2 linked regions of the Kluyveromyces lactis genome follow. Each later gene encodes a partner of the first gene's protein in a complex. Links are inferred from orthologs where the notes say so. Each region holds a gene or a part of one and is shown on either strand. Other genes may lie near its edges.

Region 1 (6,488 bases):
CTCGGCCAAGAATGGCATGTTTGCCTTCTTCACAGAACTCGAGATGGAAAAGGTTAACACACTGAGTAAAGTGGTCACTGAGAGCCATTTGTTGAACGTACGTTCGTTGGCTAGCCATACCTTTGCTTCGACTTTCACAGGACCAGCGTTCTTGATGTAACTTGTTGGTTTCTTGACACCCGGTGGTAATTCAATTTCTTCGTCTTCAGAATCGACACCGGTGAGTTTGCTGTCAGTGGTGTCTCTACCTGTCAAAAGATTGAAAATGTTAGGTTCATGACGATGACGATGTTTCTGTTTTCTTGCATCTGATTTCCCTTTGTTTCTGGCCAAGGTAGCAGAATCTTCATCCTCGGAAGACTCTTCGTCTTCCTCAGGTTCGTCTTCTTCGTTCAAGGCACTTGTCGATGGTGCAGCTGGTGAAGACTGGTCTCCGCCACCGGCTACCACTGACAATCTCTTCATCTTGTCCATCTTGGCGACATGCTCCTGTTGTCTTTCTAATTTCTTCTTCTCTTCCTCGTAGGCCTGGTTTGGATCCTTTCTGATATCGAATTCCAAGTCTGGTAACCAGAATGGTAACATATCCAATTTTTCATCGTCACCGAACAATGAGGCCACACCTTGTACGTATTTGGAGAACTTTGGCACTTCTTTCACCAAATGGGAATTGGCTAAATCAGCGATCCATTTCACTTGGTTACCACCATGGGCTAGAACGCTTAGTGCATTCTCGGATGAGGCAATAGAAGACGCAGATGTCTTCACTTTGATTTCCATAACAGAGTATGGGAACTTAGCGTATTCGCCAGGTCTAACCAATTTCAATGGATGGGCCACGTTAGAATCAATGTCAGATCTGTGCCAGTGATGAGGGTCTCTGATTGGACGGTCCTTGTCAAAGGAATCTTCACGGATGTAAAGGATATCTGAATCGATAGTGATTCTTACACGGTCATCACCTGGAATTTGGAATGCAGTTCTTTGGTATAAAGTTCTTAGAACTGGTTGTAATTCGTTTTCAAGAATGAATTGTTGGATGGAATCGAAATTGTTTTCCAATTTCTTGGTAGTATCGTTGCTTGAGCCGGATTCCTTCAATTTCTTGAGCATCATTTCCTTATATTCGGTATCACCGTTGAAAATAAATCCATTGATGAATTTTGGTTTCAACTTAATCCTTGTTTCATCGAAATCGGTCGAAGAAGAATCCTCGTTGTCTACAAACATTCTCTTTTCAAGGAAAATGTCCGGCTTGTCGTTCAATTTACCAATCCATCTCAATCTCAAAGTTGGAGCAGAGTTGGTTTTCAATAACTTGTTGTTGTACAATTCGAAGAACTCGTTATCGAAATATAGCGTGGAGATGACAGGTTCAAAACTTTTGTTCAAATGACCCACATCGGTTTCGTTACTGGAACTGGACATTGCTGGACCACCGTCGTCATTCAAAAGATTAGACTCCAATCTATCGATCAAGTCTTCGTTCTCAGAGGGTGCTTGAGCATAGACTAACACTGGCAAACGTCTCAAGATATTAGTTTTCACTTCCATTAAATTATCTTGATGAATCCAGAATTTGAAGGATTGTGTAGACATCTGTTCGTTCTTTGGCATAGAGGAAAGTTTTGATGAGTTAGCCAAAGATTTCGATACAGATGAGAAGTTGTTACGCAAGATGTTGTATAGATAAGAGATCTTGTACAACAATGGAGAGTATTCTTCCGAATGGAACGGTAACGATTTTAATCTCACTTGTAACAATGACTTGACAGATGGGTAACCTGGATGCAATTTGTCGTGTTTCTTCACAATCTTGGTGAAACCAGTGAAATTTAAACGTTGGAAATTGTCCAATTCCTGGGCCTGACTCAAACATTCTTCCAATTGTTGATGGAACGCCTGAAAATCAATCGTATGTAGATTCTCTTCACTTTCAGTTTCTTCTTCAAGCCTATTCAAGGTATTCATAATCTTATTGTAAGCAGAAGTTTGAAATCCATAAACTTTCTCCAACTCCTCATCCAACGCGGAAACAAATTTGGATTCATCCTTCTCACTCCAATATTCATCTACATTACTCTTCCCCTTCTTCCCCTTCTTCCCACGGCCAGAAGAAGAACCATTGAACATTTCAGAGTCTCTGATAACGGACTCTTTTAACAACTTTTTCAATTTCTCATAATCGATATAAGAATCCCTCCATGGGGGATAAGTATCATTAGCTAGCTTCACACCAAATAGCATTGTGCCTTGAATTTAAAAAGACCAAATCCCTCTTTTGACAATATTATAAGGGTTATAATAAACAGCAACCCTTCCTGGTTATAAAGCTGAAGATGGTGATCAGGATTACACTTCTCAATTCAAGATACAAGGAAGCTGAACAAGAAAATAGAAATCTACCCAACTGTTTATTGGCTAAATAAAATCTTTAAGTCCATCCTTATATCTGTTTCTTTATTTGCATTTCCTTCTAATGCACTCTTTATATAATCATCGATGCCCTTATATTGGGAAAGTTGGGCAATTTTATATTGATCTTGAGTGGCACGTGGAGATGGTCATGTGATTATTTACGTCACGTGTAAATCACCTGATTTGGAATGGTCGTGTAAAGTTACCTTTGAACTTTCTAATACATACCATTTGAATATATATATATATGTACACACACAAAGCCAATGCATAGGTTGTTATTTCTTATTGTACGCTCTGATCTGTGGTTTAGCAGCAATTGGACTTGGAGCCTGAAGAGCCTGAGCCACGAATGCTTACATTTCCCTCCTTTTCAGCCTTTCCTTCCATCTTACCATCATCGATCTTTTCTTGGATCAACTTGGCCAATGTGAAGAAGATTTCGCTGACGTTGGTGTCGTCTTTGGCACTGGCTTCAATGAATGGGATCCCTAGCTCCTTAGCAAGAGCTTCACCTTGTTCGTAAGACACGGTTCTTGTATCCATGTCCTTTTTATTTCCGACTAGCAGCATTACTACATCCTCGCTAGCATGTTGGTTAACAGTGGAGAACCATTGTCTGATGTTTTCAAAAGTTCTTTCGTCAGTAACATCGTAAATCAATACAATACCCATGGCACCTCTGTAGTATGCGGTTGTGATGGTTCTGAACCGTTCCTGGCCAGCAGTATCCCAAAGTTGTAACTTCACACGTTTCCCATTGATGTCTACGGTTTTAATCTTGAAATCGATACCGATTGTGGTGATGAAAGTTGGTGTGAACTTATCTTCAACAAAACGAACCAAAAGACATGATTTACCTACACCGGAATCACCTAGAAGTAAAATCTTCATGACAGAATCATAGTTTTTATTCGTGCTGCCGTTAGCAGAAACCGTTCTTAATCCAGACATTATAGTTTCAATCTCCCTTGTTTCCTTCACGCTTCAATTAAGTGAAAAAAATTGATATCACAGTTCAACACTGTTATTTTATCTCGATATATTGGAGGAGTGGCGAGCTGGTTATATCTGGTCAACAGAATCTGGGTTTTAATAGCTCGGCCGTAAAGTGTTTGGGTTAGTGCCTTTCGTGATGGCTATCCTGCTTTCACCCTTTCAAACAATATTTGTCCAAAATCTAGATACTGATCGAATTCGTATATGGTGATAGGCATACCCAATGTCAAGTTAAATTATACGATTTATACTTGTAGATGTACATATATATTCATGTGCATACGCAGCTTGTGGGTCATCTGTGTCGATTGTGCAACTTCTCAGGCGTAGTAACTCCTCCAAAGAACACCTTCCATATCTTCTAATTGCTCCGAGGTGAACTGGTATCTGTCCAAATGCCAGGTATCTGCTCTAACTTTCTTGTATCTAGAGATGATGTTCTTTGCATCAGCACCGCACATACCGCTTGTTCTTGCCCAGGACGCTAGTAGTGCCATATTCTCTGGAATCCAATTTGGTAACGGTGAAACGTACGGGAATGCTTCGATGATGGCACCGAGACCCAAGATCGCACCGTGAATATCTGTGTTGGATTTGGAGAGTGCAGCTTTCTCCTCGAAAGTATATGAACCAAGTTGACGCTTGAAGTTTTCCAAGAGAGTGTGCAAAGTATCGGTATCATAAGATATGTTATGCACGATACCGGCAAGGACATAGGAAGCCTTGAGACGAACCTCTACAAAACTCTTACAGAACAATTTGTCCAAAACGAACTCTAAGATCTTCACTTTACCAGCATGGTCCATAACCAACGATTGTGTGGAGAAAAGTTTCTCTGCTAAAGTCAAATTCACACGTAATTCATGAGAGCTAGTCAAATCTGTGTCATCCAAGATCGAAATTATGTCAGGTAACAACGTGCGGCTTATTGGAATGTATGCAAGTTCCACGTAAATACTGTAAACCTTAATGTTGACCATTTTACAAACATCTCTCATTCTGTCTAACTTCATCAAGAAGGGTGCCAAATAACATTTAGCAAATGGACCCAGACACACTCTAGCACCAGTATTGATTAAATGAGCAGCCCAATAGAACATAGTTGATGCCAAGTAGAAATACCTAGTCTTCAAGATGTCCTGAGCGGGTAGGTCCTTGATCAACAATCTTTCTTTTTCAATTTCGTTGAAGATTTTAATAGCCCTCTCTCTCAACCAGCTTGGGATTTCTCTGATCTCAATTGGACCAGATGCCCCCGTTTCGAGAAGAGACTTCACGTTTGGACGATGAGCATTTGCCTTTATGTAGAAGATAACTGAGAAAAGTTTACCAACTTCACGACGAACCACGTCGGAAGGATGGTCAAAGACTAATTGATCGAGTAAATTTTCAACAGAACCCATCTTGAAACCTACATCTGAAATTGCCTGTGTGACTATTATCAATTTACCAGAAAGTTCTAATGAAGATTCACTTTTAACATCAAACAATCCATCCACGGTCAAGAACCTTTTGTATATTTGAGCAGATCTTCTCAAATCAATGAAAGATGGTACCCACCAAGCTACAATGCTCCAGATATCCGTTGTTGTGGCATTATAGTTGTTGTCTAACCATTTACCCAAAAACCTTTCTAAGAACTTTTCAAACTTCTGTAAGTTTTTCTCATCCGTATACTTCAAACTGAACAATAGCCCCGAAATGATCTCACTACAAGCAATCATTGAAGATTTATCGTCTTTTTCATATATCTCTTCGCAAATGTCAAGGATATCTTCGTACTTCATAGAACAACAGTTATTAGAAATCAAGTGAACAAAGATTCCAAATAGACTCAATCTATTCGTGCTAAAGCTGCTTTGCTCCTCATTGGACCGTATGAAAATGTTGCACATATCTAACAACCACTCCTTTGTTATTAGCTTACCAAAGTTATTCATTATTTCCATATCTTCGGGCTTAAGGTTGAATGGAATCTGATTTTCAGCTTTGACAACGCCCATAGGCCTTCCTCGGCATAACCAACCAACAAACGCTTTGGAGTCCACAAAAAAGTTAGGATTTTCAACGTTATTAATTTCTTTAAAGTATTCTTCCTCAAAGTTTGGTTTTGATGTGTCCAAGTATTCCACATATTGTCTCACATAGTCTGTGCGATAGGTGGAATCGATATCGTAGTTATAGTTCCCAAGGGAAATCATTTTGTTACAAACATTTAACATTGTTACCATACAATTCGATATGAGAGATGGATGTTTTGTCTTCGTTAACTCGAAACTTTGAATTAACACCTCCTGGTTAGGTTTAATCTCTAAATTCATTTGAATGACCTGCACTATACGCAATATGTGACAAATAGACATCCAACGCAACTGTGGGTCTTTCCTTTGGAAATCAACAAGATTGATATGCAAGGTTTCGAGTTGCGAGAAATACTCCTTTCGTTTCCTATCCTTAGCTGTTTTAACAACGGCAACTTGTTTATCTATTGTTTCATCATTTGGTTTTAGGCAATCAATCGCAGATTCGTCAAATAGGCATACAGCAGATGGAATTTTGATTAGGCCCGACACACTCTCCATGACTTGATCACAAAGTGAGACTAAGAAGTAAGAGTCGAGACGAGATGCACGCAATAAAAGAGTGAGCATTTTCTCAAGATTTTTATAATCTGACATCATCTTTCTCTGTATTTTCTTCATGGATAACACCTGGATCAAAACCTCCAATTTCTTAGAAGCTTCGGCATCAGTACTGTCAAGTGCAGCTTCGAATGCTTTGAAAACCTTTCTTACGATTATCGAATATGAACCAATTAACTGTTTCATAACATGAATCATGCATTGCTGTGCGGGTCTGTGAATGTTTGGATACACCGATAGAGATAAAGAAATGACATCATTCAAAAGTTTCAATTCCAGTTTCGATGGTTTCCTATTAGTTGAATATAAGGTAAGTCTAGACTGGTGAAGTTCCTGACAGTCAGCTGCGAGATACGTTCTTGTAAATGGAAGGAACGGTTCCTCCCAGTGTGCTATGTCTTGTATGTTTTCTAGGAATTCCACAGATAT
Region 2 (6,690 bases), on another chromosome or scaffold:
ACCCAGAGTAAGCAGTTGTTAAGCAAACGATGCAAGAAAGAATTAAACTGACATGTGTCAACTGATTAAATCTTTTTAAAGAGGGATTTCTCAACGAGAAAAATATAAAACTCGTGTTGTGATGGCATACTAACGCAAATGAAATCACAGAAATGCCTTGAAATATCCTTGGTGTAATAAACAACTGATGTAAATGGAAAGTTCCTTTATATTCGCCGCTTACTAGTGGAGCTTTAACAACTATGATAATAACAATTGCAATAAGTCCTAAAAGTGCAAGCATTGATGTCTTTGAAAGCTTGGAGATATCCCTGTTAAGAGATAGCGGAAACGATATGAACAAAGTCACCAATGTGATAATGACATTCCGATGAAAAAGATCTGTATGAGAAGGGAAAAAGGCGCTCAAAACATGAGGTATTGAATCTCCAATGATAATGCAAAACCCAACGCAACCACCAAATGCAAATAGGCCGTTGGATACTAAAATCAAAAGTCCTCCCCATTGACCCATTGCTGTTTCTACAGATGCTTGATAAGTACTCTTACCGGTTAATTTCAAATTGATCACAATCAGACGAATGGTCCAATCAACCAGTATGGACATTAATATGGTCGCAAATAATCCGCCGATGATTCCGCAATTTTTCATCGCAAAAGGTTGCCCTATCACTCCTGATCCTAAAATACTATTCGCCATGTTCATGAAAGCCATGTACCTGTTAGATTTTGCCTCATTAGATAAATAGATGTCATCTGTTAATGGGTCTTCTTCATTAACATTAAAAATGTTTTGGTCAACTGCGCTGTCAGCTGTCTTCGCGGTGTCATCAAATGACGTTAACTCCAGTTCAAACGGATTTGGTTCATTCTTCGATTGTTTATCAGACAGAGCTAGTTTTGCATACTTTTTATCAGCGGCTATCTGCATCTGTATTAATTATAATTCACAAAGTAGGCCATAAGCGGTTCAACTATCGTGCGCTCCGTTTGCTACTACAACCTTCTTACAGCCATATTGTTTTATCTAAGGCAAGAAGAAATACTTGCAATATATAAATTTGGTGCTTAGTCTTTTGGGTATGATAAGGATGACGAAATTTGACAAATCACGTGCATTGAAATGAAACTCTCTACATCAGGTATTTATTGTTACAAAGTATGCAAGGTAGGAGGAAAGATTGTGCATGACACTAGTTGACGACATCCTTTGCATCGTTAAAACTATCCTCTTCATCAGAATTATCCAAATTTTCAGGCTTTTCAGATTCGGGTTCAAGATCAGCGGACAGATCTTGATAAGTTTCCAATAAATCACTTGGCTCTTCAGATGATGCATGGGTATCATGAGCTGATTCGGCACTTTCTTTGTTATCATTTAATACTGTGGATGATTGTGAGGGCTGTCTTGAATGCTGTGGTTCAATTTTTTTGCTTTTTTTCTCTTCATTCTTTCCTTGTAAATCCGTGGCAGTCTTCTCATTAGTTTTCTCATTATGATCGCCAATATCATCCGATGATTGATCTGTGTGACGTATACCATTGACTGTTTCATCCACACTGATAGAGTTTGCGGTATCCGCTTCAAAATCGAAAGTTTCATCCTCCTCATGTGTTATAGGGACAGGGATATTGTTTGAGGCAATGCCTAGACCTTGTTCTTCTTCAAAACTTTTAGCTTTGGAAATATCTGTTGATGGGGCAATATCTGTAGCTACCGATTCGTCGAGAGACCATACGCCAATATGCGACCATTGTAAAGATGCTCGTAGTTGTGAAAGACGGGCCCATGACCTCTGGATATTGGTTGTTGGTAGTCCGTTTTTGTCGGCAAATTGTGGACCATTTTCTATGATAGGAGTTGAAGATTGCGATTGCTTTAATCCTTGGAAAATACTTAATCTTTTGGATTTCATTTTCGGCCTTGATGCTTTAGTTACCTCGGAGTAAGCATTGACCTTGCCTTGATGTATTGATGCCAAAGCTACTTTTTCTAGATGCCAAGCACCAGATCTCAATGATCTCAAAAATGCGAAAATTTCACAAACTTGTCTTAATTTCAACAAGCAGTAATGGCACACGGGAAATTGATTTGTTAACTCATTTTTACCATTTTCGAGCTTTTGATATGTTTTGAAGATATAAAGTCTTCCATGTTCAAGGATGTCGTTTCTATTTTCACCACAGAAAGCACATGGTTCTACCATAGCAACAGGCGGAGAATTCACCGGACGGCTAAACAAATGAGAATCTTTGTTTTCGACCTCTGGAGAGTCGGGAATACTTGGAGAACTATATCCTGTACGATATGTTTCATTTATTCCACTAATCGGCTCGATTGATACCAGTCCTTCCATCATTAAATTCATTAAATTTCTTTTTACAAGCCATCCTACTCCGGAGGCATTATCAAGTCGCAAGACGGGACTTATTTCATAGTTTATTAATCTCCTTAATAGTTTCGATTCCGAAGTGGTTTGTTGAAGGTTTTCGCATTGTGGTAGCACAGCAAGAAATTTCAAATATTCTGTGTATAGAGGAACGTCATACCTTAACGAATGCAGAAGAGGGGAAAATAACACGCCTTGAAACGACAATGAATTATCATTTACTGAGGTTAGGTTGGTGGTTGATCTATCAATTGATGTGGTAGAGGACGTCGCAGAATCTGAAAGTGAAACGTTCTTCGAAGAATTGAAATCATTTTCGAACTTGTAGAGTACGTTTTTGAGATTCTTTAACTGCATTGACAATGTATCAAGTAATAAATCCTTTTCTTTCAACTGCTCTTTGAGCTTCGAGTTTAATATTTCTACAGCATTTTGTTCTTTCCTTGCATCTGCTACCATGTTATTAGCCTCATCGAATAAAGAAGCGGTTAAGTCTTCAATTTCTTGGTTCAATGTAGCCACTTTCTTTTCGGCATCAGCACAAATTTCTTCCTGTTTCTTGAATTTTGTCTTATCGGTTTCGTATTGTAATTTCAAAGATTGTAGTTCCTGCTTCAATTCATTATATGAGTTCGCAATATTCTGCTGAGTGGAAATGGTTTTCTTAGCCACTAGTAACTGTTCTTCTAATTGGGATTGTTTATCAATGCTTTCGATTAATTGCGTAGATAAAGATGTCACTTGCAAAGATATGCGCTTTGACTCTTCTTGATCCGCCATTCTAAAAATAAGGCTACCGTCAGCTTTGCTTGTAGCAAGTACTTTCTGTTAGCAAAATCAGTGATTCATTTATTGAAGTAAATTACACAGGCGAGTATTTATGTATTTCATTAGTCCTCTGGTAATTTGGTTGATATATATTACATTCTTGATTTCATCAAACATTGGAACTAAATTCATTACCCGGTTTTAAAATGAAAATGTCAATTTCGGTATACGAATTATGTCTATGCAAGTATACACATATTGTAGTTATTAAATAAATGCTGAAATGAGTATTATGTAGTCTTTAAGCATCAATAAACTCATCTTCCGATGAGTTCGATGTGTCCATCAAATCTTGGGTTGGCGATAACGGTTTAGGATGAGGTCCAACTTCTAGGCTTCCAACAAATTGTAGTTTATTAGGTTGGTCTACTTTCACAGAAGAATCTTTTTTTTTCAGATCCCTAAGCTTGTCCTTTGCTTTGATTGGGGATGGAGAAGCGTCTTTTCTTTCGTCAGGGCCTCTTAATTCTAGTAATAAATTCCTTGCTCTATCTGCAGGGTCTTGTTTTGATGACGACAAGCTTTCAGTTTCAGGAAGGCTGGCCGATTTTTTAGCAGTAGGCGATTCGGTAAGCGTTCTATTTTGTTCCACGAAAGCTTCGATAGTACTATCAGCAGTGATGTTATCAAAAATTGATGCCCCGGATTTACCATCTAGTAATTTCTTTCTAGCCAATGCACGTTTACGAGTACTAGATGGATCTCCTTTTGAAGGAGCTGCATTTTTCAATTTATCCAAAAGCTTCTCTATATCGTCCCTATCATCAGACGGTTCTTGCGAAGTGCTTAAATTTTTTGCTGTTGCCTTACTATCTGCCTCCTGTTGTTTCCGTTGTTGATCTTCAATCATTTTCTTTCTCCTTTCGTAAGCACGTTCTTCTTCTTCCAGTTTGACATTATGAGTTTTAGCTTTCTTGAATTCGGTAATGAAATCTGCAAACTTTTGGAAGAAAGAGTTTTTAGAGAACTTGTCGTTGGCATCTTCGCCAAATTTCTTCATTAGATTTTCAAATTCCAGCAAACTTAATTTGATTTCATCGCTTAGAAGATCAGCTTTCTTTCTAGCTTCAGGTAAAACCGGTACTACCTTATTTAAAACACGATCTAACGGATGGAATTTAGAAGGGTCACTTAGGTTTCCAATTTCAATAGAACGCTCAACGTTAATTACTGACTGTGAAAATTCCTTACAATCAGTTACCAACTGTTCGATGGATATTTTTGTTACGCTAAAAATAGGCTCAAGCTCTTCCACGAAATGGCTGTATTCGGGATAATTTTCACGAATTATCTTTTCCACATAGTTCAAAAAAGTCATACTGTTCTTTTCATCTTTAATGAAGGTCAATCTTTGTAGGGTGCTTAGCTTGAACCCCTGAGCTTGCTTTGAAGAATCATTCATATAATTACCAACTGCCAAAATAACATCGAAAACATGTCTGAGACTTTCAGATTGTTCGATGCACTGAACTGCTCTATCAATTTTTCTTAGTTTAGTGACCAAATCCGAATAGTCTTTTTCATAAGTAGTTATCATAGTGATTGCTCTCATACGAGACCCCCAGTACGGTTGTAAGTTAATCATAAATTCAACATATAGTTGATCTGCACGTTGAAGTTCATTAGGATCTTTTTCGGGGGGTTTTGCATCGTCAACAGATGTCACTCCCTCCCAATCAGTACTGTAAGGATTGAAATATCGTGCCAAATTATTCGTTACTTCAATTATGGTAGGCTTTGACAAAAACTCTATTACGCTAGGAGTAGATAGGAATTCTCTATCACATTTCATTACCTTCCCAACAACATCTTTAACATCGAGGTTGGAGAACATATGTAGGTTAATACCAAATTGTTGGGAAACATCTCTCGATAAAAAGGTAATCTTTTCATTTGCTTCCTTAGACTTTCCTTTTAATGATTTGGTTTCTCTGGCAGCAAACGCTTTTTCTAATTGACTTAATACACCTCTTTCGAATAGATCGTCAGCAACCTTTTCTGCTTGAGCATTTTTCCAAATAGAATCCCCAGCATTGTCAATTTTTTCCCAGTGTAATTGTTTGAGCTTCTTCTTGGGACGAGGATACCTTTCAAAGAGAGATGGTGATTGCGGTAGTAAGGGACTTGTGACTGTCGCTTTGGGTGTGTTTGCCGATGGAAATGGTGGAGGTGGGGGAGGGGGAGGAGGAGGGGGAGGAGCAATACCAGGGGATAATGCAGTAGGGAGAGGAGATGGTACTGCAGTAAGAGTTCCACCTAATGATACCGGTAAGGGAGGTGGTGGCGGCGGTGGTGGTGGTGGCGGTGGCGAAGCAGCGGATACGATTGTTGTTGTTGGATTCGCTTCAATAGATTCGGAATCCCCGATTTCAGACTGCATTGTCGTTGGCGAATATTTATCATTCAAGATCACATTCGAGATCTTGTCGCTTCCCTGTTGAGCATCTGTCAAAATGGGTTTTTCTGTAAATTGACTGACTGGTTTTTCAGTACTCTTTAACGATGCACCAGGAGATACAGATATGCCAATACCCACAGGGACATCATCGATGTCATCTGTCATTTTAACTTTTGATTTTAGCTCAGTCAAAAACGGTGGCAGATGTTCGCTCGTCGCTGTTGGGTTCACTGTAGTATTCTTTAACCTATTCAAAAACGATTTTCTATGATAACCGCTTCCAGGATACCTAGTCTCGCGTCCCACACGACCACCATTCGTAGACGTGGCGGTCTGTTGTCCAGTTGAATACTTTTGAGATAATGATTCAAGGAATGATGATCCATTGGATACAATATCCGACCCATGAGATGCTTGTGATTGTGATGAACCATCTTCTGAAGAGGAAGATGCCGAAGACAACGATGACGAAGATGATGAACTTGAGCCGGTTTTAGGTCTATTTTTCATTTCTTCTTTCAATGCATTGAGTTCATCAATAATTGAATTCATTTCTTCTACCTTTCTTTGTACAATTGTTGGATCCAAAGAAGGTCCGCCATTACTGGACTGCGTCAGGAGCTCTTTTAACTCAGGGTCATCTGCAAAGTCAATGTGGAAACCATTGTATTTATTCTCTAAGTCTTTCAATCTATCCAAGGCAGCTAACTTTTTGTCTTGGAATAATTCATTCACTCTGGCCTCAATATTGAACTTTGTTATATCGTTGCTTTCATTTTGTATTATTGCTAGCTTTTTCCTTAACTCAGCTAATTTTGTGGCTTGTTGACCTTTAACTTGCTCCTTAAATTTCTGGTTCTGCTTGGGTTTGACATCAGCAAAATTTGTCATTTCAAGCTCTCTTGCTTGGTTCTCAATATCTTCCATTTTTGATCTCAAGAGTTTCAACCTACTCTTGGAACCAACCGCAGTTCCAAGTCTGCGAGACTCATTAAGAAGATCTTGCTCTGTTTTTTGCAAGCTTCTTTGTAAAACGTTTTGTATGGCAGTTTTTCTTTCAGGATTCAATGGTTT

Evidence for each region. Proteins that work in one complex are often made in the same cells at the same time.
Region 2: the proteins of SEC4 (region 1) and SEC2 are in contact, whole or in part, in a crystal structure (PDB 2EQB), measured with the Saccharomyces cerevisiae proteins. The link is inferred for Kluyveromyces lactis from reciprocal best matches to the Saccharomyces cerevisiae genes SEC4 and SEC2. Residues at the interface, in NP_116650.1 of Saccharomyces cerevisiae: Lys22, Lys44, Phe45, Asn46, Pro47, Phe49, Ile53, Ile55, Asp56, Phe57, Trp74, Thr84, Ile85, Ala88, Tyr89, Arg91, Gly92; in NP_014127.1 of Saccharomyces cerevisiae: Asp95, Asn98, Lys99, Val101, Glu102, Asp103, Thr105, Ala106, Phe109, Asp110, Ala112, Asn113, Val116, Ala117, Arg120, Lys121, Tyr124.

Annotation. Positions count from the first base shown.
Region 1 is NC_006041.1:1,072,183-1,078,670, reverse strand, and holds SEC4 (Rab family GTPase SEC4), read right to left. Parts: upstream 3,373-6,488; coding exon 2,728-3,372; downstream 1-2,727. Other genes in the region: VTC2 (vacuolar transporter chaperone), read right to left, coding at 1-2,247; proteasome activator BLM10, read right to left, coding at 3,738-6,488. UniProt on the Saccharomyces cerevisiae protein: Involved in exocytosis. Maybe by regulating the binding and fusion of secretory vesicles with the cell surface. The GTP-bound form of SEC4 may interact with an effector, thereby stimulating its activity and leading to exocytotic fusion.
Region 2 is NC_006039.1:193,074-199,763, forward strand, and holds SEC2 (guanine nucleotide exchange factor SEC2), read right to left. Parts: upstream 3,171-6,690; coding exon 1,194-3,170; downstream 1-1,193. Other genes in the region: AVT2 (Avt2p), read right to left, coding at 1-931; formin BNI1, read right to left, coding at 3,460-6,690. UniProt on the Saccharomyces cerevisiae protein: Guanine nucleotide exchange factor for SEC4, catalyzing the dissociation of GDP from SEC4 and also potently promoting binding of GTP. Activation of SEC4 by SEC2 is needed for the directed transport of vesicles to sites of exocytosis.